2 linked regions of the Sus scrofa genome follow. The protein of the gene in region 1 binds, or shares a complex with, the protein of each later gene. Links are inferred from orthologs where the notes say so. Each region holds a gene or a part of one and is shown on either strand. Other genes may lie near its edges.

Region 1 (4,578 bases):
GGCAAGAATAACCTCCTCCGAAGTTTTGGAACCCTTGGTGAAGAACAGGAGTGGAGGGCAAGGAGAGGAAGAAACAGAGTGGGGTCAGAATCGCAGGCCAGGGAGCTCCCATCGTGGTGCAGCGGAAACGAATCCCACTAGGCACCAAGAGGTTGCAGGTTTGATTCCCGACCTCACTCAGTGGGTTAAGGATCTGGTGTTGCCATGAGCTGTGGTGTAGGTCACAGACATGGCTCGGATCCTGTGTTGCTGTGGCTGTGGTGTAGGCCAGTGGCTACAGCTCTGATAGACCCCTAGCCTGGGAATCTCCATAAGCTACAGGTATGGCCCTAAAAAGCCAAAAAAAGAAAAAAAAAGAAAAAAAAAAAACCCTGCAGGCCAGGAGCAGGAGGGCAGTGACCTGCAGACAAACCTGGCCTACTCACTGCAGACAGTACCAGAGGGGCAAGGCTGGGTGTTGGGGGGGGGTGCCCTTCAAAGAACGCGGAGTGCTGCAGGGAACCAGAGGTCAAGGAGTCCCTCCAGGACCTCCTTCATGTGACACACCAGAGGATTTAGGCCCCCGGCAACAGGTAGACCTGTTACGTTGATGAACCCCCCGCCTTTGGCACAGTCCCTCGGTCTTTTTTTTCTTTTTTTGCTGTGCTGTGGCATATGGAATGCCCTGACCAGGGATCAGATCCCAGTTGCAGTTGCAACCCATGGCAATATCAAATCCTTAACCCCCAACCCCCACCCTACCGCTCCCCGTGCTGGGCTGGGGATCAAACCTGCATACCGGCATACCCGCAGGCCAGAAACGGGGAAGATGCCATTGCACCCCAGTGGGAACTCCTTGGCCTTTTTAAAGTGGCCACATGGGGGAGTTCCTTGGTGGTCTAGTGGTTAGGACTCCATGCTTTCACCGCTGCACTCAGGCCAAGGTTCAATCCCTGGTCTGGGAACTGAGATTCTACATCAAGCTGCTGCGAGCCACGGTCAAATTAATGAATGGCCACACACAGGAGTCCACCCTCGTAAAATATTTCCAGTTTCTCATTAGCAACCCTCAGCATTTGGCGCCCCCCCATCTCTCCTCTCATAGACCCATCTTCCTCTGAAGGGGCAAAGCCCCATGCACCGCTAAGTCTTTACTCTCGGCTTCCCCTGCCAGCCACACCCTTCTACTCCTTTCTGCCTGGAGAGTCTTATGTTCTCCGGGATCACTGAAGGAGTCTCCATGCCATAGCCAACAGCCACTTCCCACCCCGAGATCCCGCTTCCATCTCTTTTCGGATGGTGGTTGCTGCATCTGTCAGTGTCCCGCGGCCCCGGAATGGGTGCGACGGTGTTGTTTCGATCCGGAATCCCAACAGACGCCCAGGAAATCGGTACTACGTTTGTGACCCAGGCGGGCTCCCCCGTGCATCTGCAGATTCTTAGGTCAGGGCTCGCTCCTCCGCACCCTCTGAGCGCCTCGCGTTCGGGTGCGCAGCCGCAGTGGGCCCCGCTGACCAGCCGGGCTCCCCAGGGGGGCTGGAGGGGACAAGAGGGGCCTGGACGGCGAGAAGCCGCCAGCAAGGCAGGCGCCCAGCGCTCCCGGCTCACGTGACCGCCCCCCGCCCACTGCGGACCCAGTCACGTGACGGCCCAGCCGGCGAGCGTTTTCTCACGTGACGAGGCGCCAGCGTGTGGCCCAATGAGGAGGCGGGGGCGGGGCTGCCGGGGGCGGTGCGCGGGAAGGAAACCCGGGGCCTCCGCGGCTGCGGGGGAGACCCGGAGGGAGGGCGGCCGGGAGCCGGGGTACGGGGTGGGGCCCGCCGCCAGTCTCAGCCTGGTCGCGGGGAGCAACATGAAGTGTTTGGTCACGGGCGGCAACGTGAAGGGTGAGTTGAGGCCGGCCGGGGGCCGGGACACGTGGGACGGCCCAAGGCTCGAGCCCAACCCGGGTTTCTCCTCTCGTTCCCGCAGTGCTCGGCAAGGCTGTCCACTCCCTGTCCCGTATCGGGGACGAACTCTACCTGGAGCCCCTGGAAGATGGGGTGAGGGGCCAGGGTATTGGGGGAGGGTGGGTTTCCAACAGGGAACCCTAAACTGGGCTCGGAGTCTCGTTCCCATCAGGCAGGATGCTGTTATGCAGATTTGTCTGCTGAGTTACAGTTTCCTCCCCTGTTGTTGAGGTGTCGGCTTGGGCCCGGTCCTCTTCCCAGGCCGATGTGTGAGCTGAGAGCATCTGTCCTCACTCAAGTGTCTGGTGGCGGGTGGGTGACAAGGTAAAATGCGTAGGTGCTGAGGCCGACTCCGGGAAGGCGTCATGGTGAAGGTATCCGCTGACCGCCAGGAGAGGGAGGGTTTTCAACAGCTGATGGAAACGGAGGATAGCAGGGCAAGAGGGAGCAAAAGCCGGCCAGAGGGCTGGGCCTGTCACTGCTGGTGACCGCATCCCTCTCCCTGCTTTTCCTGGTCCAGCTCTCCCTCCGGACTGTGAACTCCTCCCGCTCCGCCTATGCCTGCTTCCTCTTTGCCCCGCTCTTCTTCCAGCAGTACCAGGCGGCCACCCCTGGTCAGGACCCATTGCGCTGTAAGATCCTGATGAAGGTGAGGCCCATTCCTCAGCCGTGGTCATGACTCCCCCAGGAACTCTGCCAGCAGTGTGCTTGCTCTGGGGCAGCTAGTAGGTGGCAGCTAGGGGGAGATATGTATGCAGGAGCAGGAGGGATCCCCTTCAAAATGCAGCAAGGGTGTAGTAAAGACAGCCACGGAGGGGAGGAGTTCCTGTCGTGGCACATTGGAAACAAATCTGACTAGTATCCATGAGGACACAGGTTCGATCCCTGGCCTCTCTCAGTGGGTTAAGGATCCGGCGTTGCTGTGAGCTGTGGTGTAGGTCGCAGATGAGGCTCGGATCTGGCATGGCTGTGGCTGTGGTGTAGGCCGGCAGCTGCCGCTCCGATTCAACCCCTAGCCTGGGAACCTCCATATACCGTGGGTGCGCCCCTAGAAAGCAAAGCAAAAAAAAAAAGATGGCCACTGGGAGTTCCCGTCGTGGCGCAGTGGTTAACGAATCCGACTAGGAACCATGAGGTTGCGGGTTCGGTCCCTGGCCTTGCTCAGTGGGTTAAAGGATCTGGCGTTGCCGTGAGCTGTGGTGTAGGTTGCAGATGTGGCTCGGATCCCACGTTGCTGTAGCACTGGCGTAGGCTGGTGGCTACAGCTCCGATTTGACCCCTAGCCTGGGAACCTCCATATGCCGCAGGAACGGCCAAGAAATGGCAAAAAGACAAAAAAAAAAAAAAAAGACGGCCACAGTGGGTGATGGAGATGTGGAGAGTGATTGATTCAGCCAGGGTCCTGGAGGGAGTGAGGTCATTCAAGTTGGTTCTTGAAAGCTAAGCAGATCTTTCGAGGTCTCCCAGATAAGGAGAACAGCATGAACAAAGGCCCAGAAGGGTGGATGTGTCTGCCTGTGTGTGCGTGGAAGGTCTTTTCCTGGTGTGACAGTGAGAGGGCCGGGGGCGGGGGTAAGGGGCCTTGAGAGCTGGTTGGTAGAAACATTAGGTGTGTGTGCCTCACCCAGTCGTTCCTGTCCGTCTTCCGCTCACTGGCGATGCTGGAGAAGACGGTGGAGAAGTGCTGCATCTCCCTGAGTGGCAGGAGCAGCCGCCTGGTGGTTCAGCTGCACTGCAGATATGGTGAGTGAGCAGCTGGCCGGCCCAGGCGTCTCTGCGGTGTGGAGGTGGAGGTCGGCGAGGCCCACTGAGACCCTGTCTGCCCATCCAGGGGTGAGGAAGACTCACAACTTGTCCTTCCAGGACTGCGAGTCCCTGCAGGCCGTCTTCGACCCAGCCTTGTGCCCCCACGTGCTCCGTGCTCCAGCAAGGTGAGCACGCCCCCTAGTTGCAGGCTGAGCCCTAGGTTTTTCTCTTCCTCCTTTGGGCCTCAAGGGTCAGTTTAAGAAGGCACCTCCTTAGGGAGTTCCCTGGTGACTCAGAGGGTTAAGGAGCTAGCACTGGCACTGGCACTGCTGTGGCTCAGGTTGCTGCTGTGGAGTGGGTTTGATCCCTGGCCCAGGAACTTCTGCATGCCACAAACCTAGCAAAAAAAAGGGGGCACCTCCTTCTTTTTCCTACAGGGTCTCTGTGAACTTCAGAGAGGTCATCCAGCTCTGTTTGCTTTCAGGTCCTTATCTGGCTCTTTGAAGGCAGAGGCTGGAGTGAGGAGGGGCCGGGTGTGCTCTTGTTCCACGTTCCTCACTGTTCTCTGGAGTCTGTATTCTCCACCTCAAAGGTCTGGCTTGGCTTTCTGACCACTCAGACCCATTCTGACTCCTGTTGAGAGAGCAGGTCTCTGGTCTGAGCACCATGGAACATCACTACGTTTTTGTGGCTCAGGGACTCCTCACCTTTCTCTGGCCTGGTCATCCTTCTGGGATGTTCCCCTTTGAAGGGCAGTCTCTCTTTCTGCCTGGTGGGGCTCTAGCCTTGAGGGGTCCCCAGGCCCAGGCAGGAGGCTGGGTGGGGGAAGGCTGCCTGAGTAAGCAGCTGTAGGGGTGGAGCTGTTCTGGGCATTCTGGGTGCCAAGGGGCCCGGGAGACGGGAA
Region 2 (4,577 bases), on another chromosome or scaffold:
GGCGTAGGCTGGTGGCTATGGCTCCGATTGGACCCCTAGCCTGGGAATCTCCATATGCCGCGGAAGCGGCCCTAGAAAAGGCAAAAAGACAAAAAAATAAATAAATAAAATAAAAATAAAAATATGATATTCCCAGTCATGGTTTCATTCCTATTAACACAACTAACACTATACATTTAACATAAATGTATAAAATACATACATTTATATTTTGTATGTATCTATATAATATACAATATATATTTACATATGTAGATTCTTTAAATAGTAAATATCAAATAACCAGTGTTCAAATTTTCAATTGTCTCCTAAGTGCCATAACTGGTTTTTGTTTGTTTCTGTTGTCCTGGCAGCAGCGTGAAAGGAGAGAACAAGTGCCCTGGAAGTAGGGGGACCAGTGAGAAGGTTATTGTATTACCTGAGAGCAGATGAGGCCAGAACATGGGCTGTGTCATGTAGGGATGGGAGGCTGGAGACAGAGGCAGGGTCAGCAGGACCCACAAAGCAATACAAAGTCTGAAAAAGCATCCAGGGAACCTAGAACCAGATCAGCTTTTTTTTTCTTTTTAGGGCCACAGGTGTGGTATATGGAAGTTCCCAGGCTAGAGGTCAAATCAGAGCTATAGCTGCCAGCCTTCAGCACAGCTACGCTGAATCCTTAACCCACTGATCGGGGCCAGGGATCAAACCCATAACCTCATGGATACTTGTTGGGTTCATTACCGCTGAGCCACAACAGGAACTCCCCAGATCAGTTTTAGTAAGAACTTATCAATGGTTGGTGGGACCAAAGTCTGAATGCAGTGGGCAGAAGAGTAGGAGGTAGGGCAGGGCATCCCAGAGGTCCACACAGCAGGGCAGACTGGTTCTACTATACAGCCATGACTCATCCATTCAGTCAACAACAAAAAAGCAACATCCCTCATGTCACTAAGCAGTGGAGATGCAGGTAAAGAAAAATAAGGACTAAGTCTCTACCCTCAAGGGTAGAGGGTACCCTAATATTTTAGGGGGAACATAGGTAATAAATACATCCATTTGTTCATTCATTTACTCAATAAATATTTACAGAATGACTATTTTTTGGGCACTGTTACATGTGCTGAAAATATTTACCAGATTACAAAATTCAATCCCTGCCCTCGTGGCGCTTACATCTAGTTGGGAAGTGATAAGAGGTACAGATAAAAGGGAAATGGCCTAAGGGCTGAGCTGACCTAGGGCTGTTTAGACCTAGGGCTGGTTGGGAGGACCTATCTGAAAAGATGTGAAGAAAAACTTGCATGAAGAAAAGAGAACAAGGGAGTTCCCATCATGGCACAGTGGAAACGAATCCAACAAGGAACTGTGAGGTCTCAGGTTCGATCCCTGGCCTCAATCAGTGGGTTAAGGATCTGGCGTTGCCGTGAGCTGTGGTGTAGGTCGCAAATGCAGCTCGGATCCCGGATCCCGTGTTGCTGTGGCTGTGATGTAGACCAGCAGTTACAGCTCCAATTTGACCCCCAGCCTGGGAATTTTCATATGCCATAGATGCAGCCCTAAAAAAGACACACACACACACACACAAAATGCAAATCATTATGTTGTACAACTGAAACTAATATAATGTGTTATGTCAATTTATACTTGTAAGGGGGGGAAACAGAATTATAGGGTTTAGTGATAGTTCAGTACTAAACTTGGGATCAGCATTAGTGGCCATCTATTTTTTCTGAGACTTGTTTATTAGGTTCAACCCAAAATTTGATAAAAGTAATCCTTTGTGAAAAATAATAACATTACCCTACTCCTCTTTCTCCTACTCCCTCTGGCCCCCACACCCTTCAAGTTCCAACAATTCTGGCCTAGGGCAGTGCAATAGCCTAACTGGCCTACTCAGGCACACCCCTCCGTGAACTCTTTAAACTGCAAATCTAATCCTGACTCTCTTCTGCTTAACATGTTTTGATTCTCTGTAAGGGCCAAACTTTTCAGTGGTGGCTAAGGTCCTGAGGCTCTGGTTCCAGCTTCATCTCACACGCACTCTGCACAGGTCTCTTAGCTCACACTCCTCAGAGACGCTTCAGCCTCTGTGCAGACCTCCCTTCCTCCCCTCCTACCACACTGCCCTGCAGCACCTCCCACCCTTTGCTTTGAGGGTCTCCCTCCCACCTTTGCCTAAAGGTATCAGATCACAGACCAAGCATGAGTTCCTGGGAAATGCTCTTCTCACCTCCCTTAAGGCCAGATCCTCTTACTGGAGATACTCAATGTGATCCCCGAGTTCTAATTTATCACCTCACAGTTGAACTCTCCATTTGTTTAAATAGGTAATTTGCTTCGAAAATGTCTTCTTTCTCCTCCCATCAGACCTTAAGCTCAGGAGAAAGGCCCCTCTGCCACTGCATCCTAGCGCCGCCTGGTGCACAATGGGTGCTCAACTAAACTTAGGTGTTGCCTAAGTTAATAATAAAGTAATTTACCACATATAAACGATAGCATGGGGCCGGGGACGAGATTTGGATTGAAGGTTCAGAGCCGAGGCGGAGTTTGCGGCCTGTATGTAAATTTTGAGGAGGAGGGAGCTTGAACAAGGTCACAACTGCGCCCAAGTAGCCCGAAGGCCGGTAGGGGCTCCGGACGGTCGCTGGTTGCAGGTCAACGGAGGACAGTTCCCCCATCCCCTCCACCAGCTGGGAAGTCGCTGAGGGGGTAAGATCCCGGGGCGGCGACTGCTCAGGGCCCGGAGGGCTGCGGGGCCTGCCCGTGATACCCAGTGTCCCCGCGTCCCGCCGCAGCGGAGCCCTCCAGCGCCCTCCCCAAGAGCCGCGCGCCCGCACCTCTAGGTTCCGCCTCGCCCGCCGCGGCTTCGCCGGCGGTCCCGACTCCCCAGCTCACCTGCCTCACCCGCCGCCGCTCCGCCGACCTCACTGCCCGGCGGGGCCACCTCACTGGCCTCTCCCGCCTGCCGAGCAACCTCACCTGCCGGGCTGGACCGCAGCGCCCGCCCAGACGACTAGGCGGATCGCGGAAACAAGGCCGCCGCCGATTGGCCACGCCCGTCACGTGACCGCAACGCTCCGCCGGCGCCAATTTCAAACAGCGGAACAAACTGAAAGCTCCGGAGCGGGACCCCACCCCCGGCCCCGGCCCGGGACAACACCCCCCCCCGCGGCGGGATCCCGGGATTCCCCACCCCGCAGCCCGGGGACGCGGCCCGGCCTGCAGGTGGGAGCAGCGCGGAGCCTCCGGGAGCCCAGAGCTGACGGTGCAGAGAGGTGAGCGGCGGCAGGAGGGAGGCCCGGGGGCCCGGCGGCAAGACGGCGCGGAGGGCCGGCTCCGGCGGGAGGTGGCGGGGCTGCACCGCGCTTCTGCACCACCTCCCGGCCTCCTCACCTCTCTCGCGGAGCGGCCCGGGCCCTCCCTGGGAGGAAGGGCGGCCTGCTCGCTCTGGCAGACGGCGGATGGGATCCATCTGAGCCCACTCCGCTTAGAACCGACACCGACCAGCTCCCAGTCCCTGCGCCCAGGTGCCCTCACCACTAGGCTGCACTGCCTCCACCCCGCCCTTTCCCAGGGCCCTCCTCGCGGTCCTGGAGACCCTTGTCCTATGTGGTCTGGATGGGGGTCGGGTCGCGGGGGTCGCGGGAGCCGTTCCGGGCTAGAAAGGATTGGCCATTGGAGGTAGAGGGTGGTCTGAATAGAAAGGAAAATTAAACTTTAGACCTGAAAGATATCCTGGGGTGAGGGGTAGGAAGCCAGTACTAGTGTCTTCTGATTGATGGGTGGAGGGAGGAAGGCCAGAAGAGATAGGAGGTGGAGGTAAAACTGAGATTTGAAGGGAGAGGAAACCTAGATGTAAAGGAAAGGGAGGAGGCAGAGTGGAGAAGGTCTGTGACTTCTAAGCAGATGGCAAATGTCATATGAGTGTGACAATCATTTTTAGGGAGATTGCAGATAGCCTAAAAAAGAGACAACCTATTCCTCTGTCTCTCAAAGCACCTCTCAGTAGAATCACACAACTCTACATTATGGTAGAGTATTCATGGATCTGTTAAAATCAACAAAACACAATTTTTAAAAGATAAAACCGATTTCCATTAACATTACAGAACCACCGGGCACATTGATGGTAGCACATTCTATTAGGAGAGAGGGATTATGGTCTTGATTCTGAAAGTTAATCGAGTCGCATGCCTAGAAAATCAAAATATGAATAAGTACTTACAAGTTATAAAATGTCTCCATATAAATATTTTGCAAATTGTGGGGAAAATGTTTTTTTTTTTTTTTCCTAAATCAGTGGAAGGATAATAGCCTGTTAAGTGAATGTCAGCCATGATCTGCACAACTGTACCCTGAGCCTTGAAGGGGGCAGTTTCCCTTTTATCTGAGGTCTCATGAACTGGGAGATGTTTCCTTCAGTGGTGTGACAATAGTGCAACGGATAATTTGCCTTTTTCCTCTGATTCTGTGGGCACAGATCCTTTAATTTATAAAGTGAAATATTATAAGAAATATAAAAGAGGGAGTTCCCGTTGTGGCTCAGCGGTAACAAACCCAACTAGCATCCATGAGGACATGGGTTCAATCCCTGG

The links.
Region 2: the proteins of RAD9A (region 1) and RHNO1 are in contact, whole or in part, in a crystal structure (PDB 8WU8), measured with the Homo sapiens proteins. The link is inferred for Sus scrofa from reciprocal best matches to the Homo sapiens genes RAD9A and RHNO1. Residues at the interface, in NP_004575.1 of Homo sapiens: Val41, Ser44, Arg45, Ser46, Ala47, Tyr48, Glu130, Leu132, Gln133, Ala134, Val135, Glu165, Tyr181, Glu183, Thr216, Phe217, Cys218, Gly244, Pro246, Val261, Leu262, Ala263, Thr264, Leu265, Ser266; in NP_001239428.1 of Homo sapiens: Thr88, Lys90, Phe91, Pro92, His93, Leu94, Thr95, Phe96, Glu97, Ser98.

What each region holds. Positions count from the first base shown.
Region 1 is NC_010444.4:5,126,864-5,131,441, reverse strand, and holds the start of RAD9A (cell cycle checkpoint control protein RAD9A), read left to right. Parts: upstream 1-1,701; 5' UTR 1,702-1,831; coding exon 1,832-1,865; intron 1,866-1,950; coding exon 1,951-2,021; intron 2,022-2,448; coding exon 2,449-2,577; intron 2,578-3,556; coding exon 3,557-3,671; intron 3,672-3,759; coding exon 3,760-3,859; intron 3,860-4,578. UniProt on the Homo sapiens protein: Component of the 9-1-1 cell-cycle checkpoint response complex that plays a major role in DNA repair. The 9-1-1 complex is recruited to DNA lesion upon damage by the RAD17-replication factor C (RFC) clamp loader complex.
Region 2 is NC_010447.5:67,243,126-67,247,702, forward strand, and holds the start of RHNO1 (RAD9, HUS1, RAD1-interacting nuclear orphan protein 1), read right to left. Parts: upstream 3,026-4,577; 5' UTR 2,878-3,025; exon of another isoform or gene 2,820-2,877; intron 1-2,819. UniProt on the Homo sapiens protein: Involved in microhomology-mediated end-joining (MMEJ) DNA repair by promoting recruitment of polymerase theta (POLQ) to DNA damage sites during mitosis.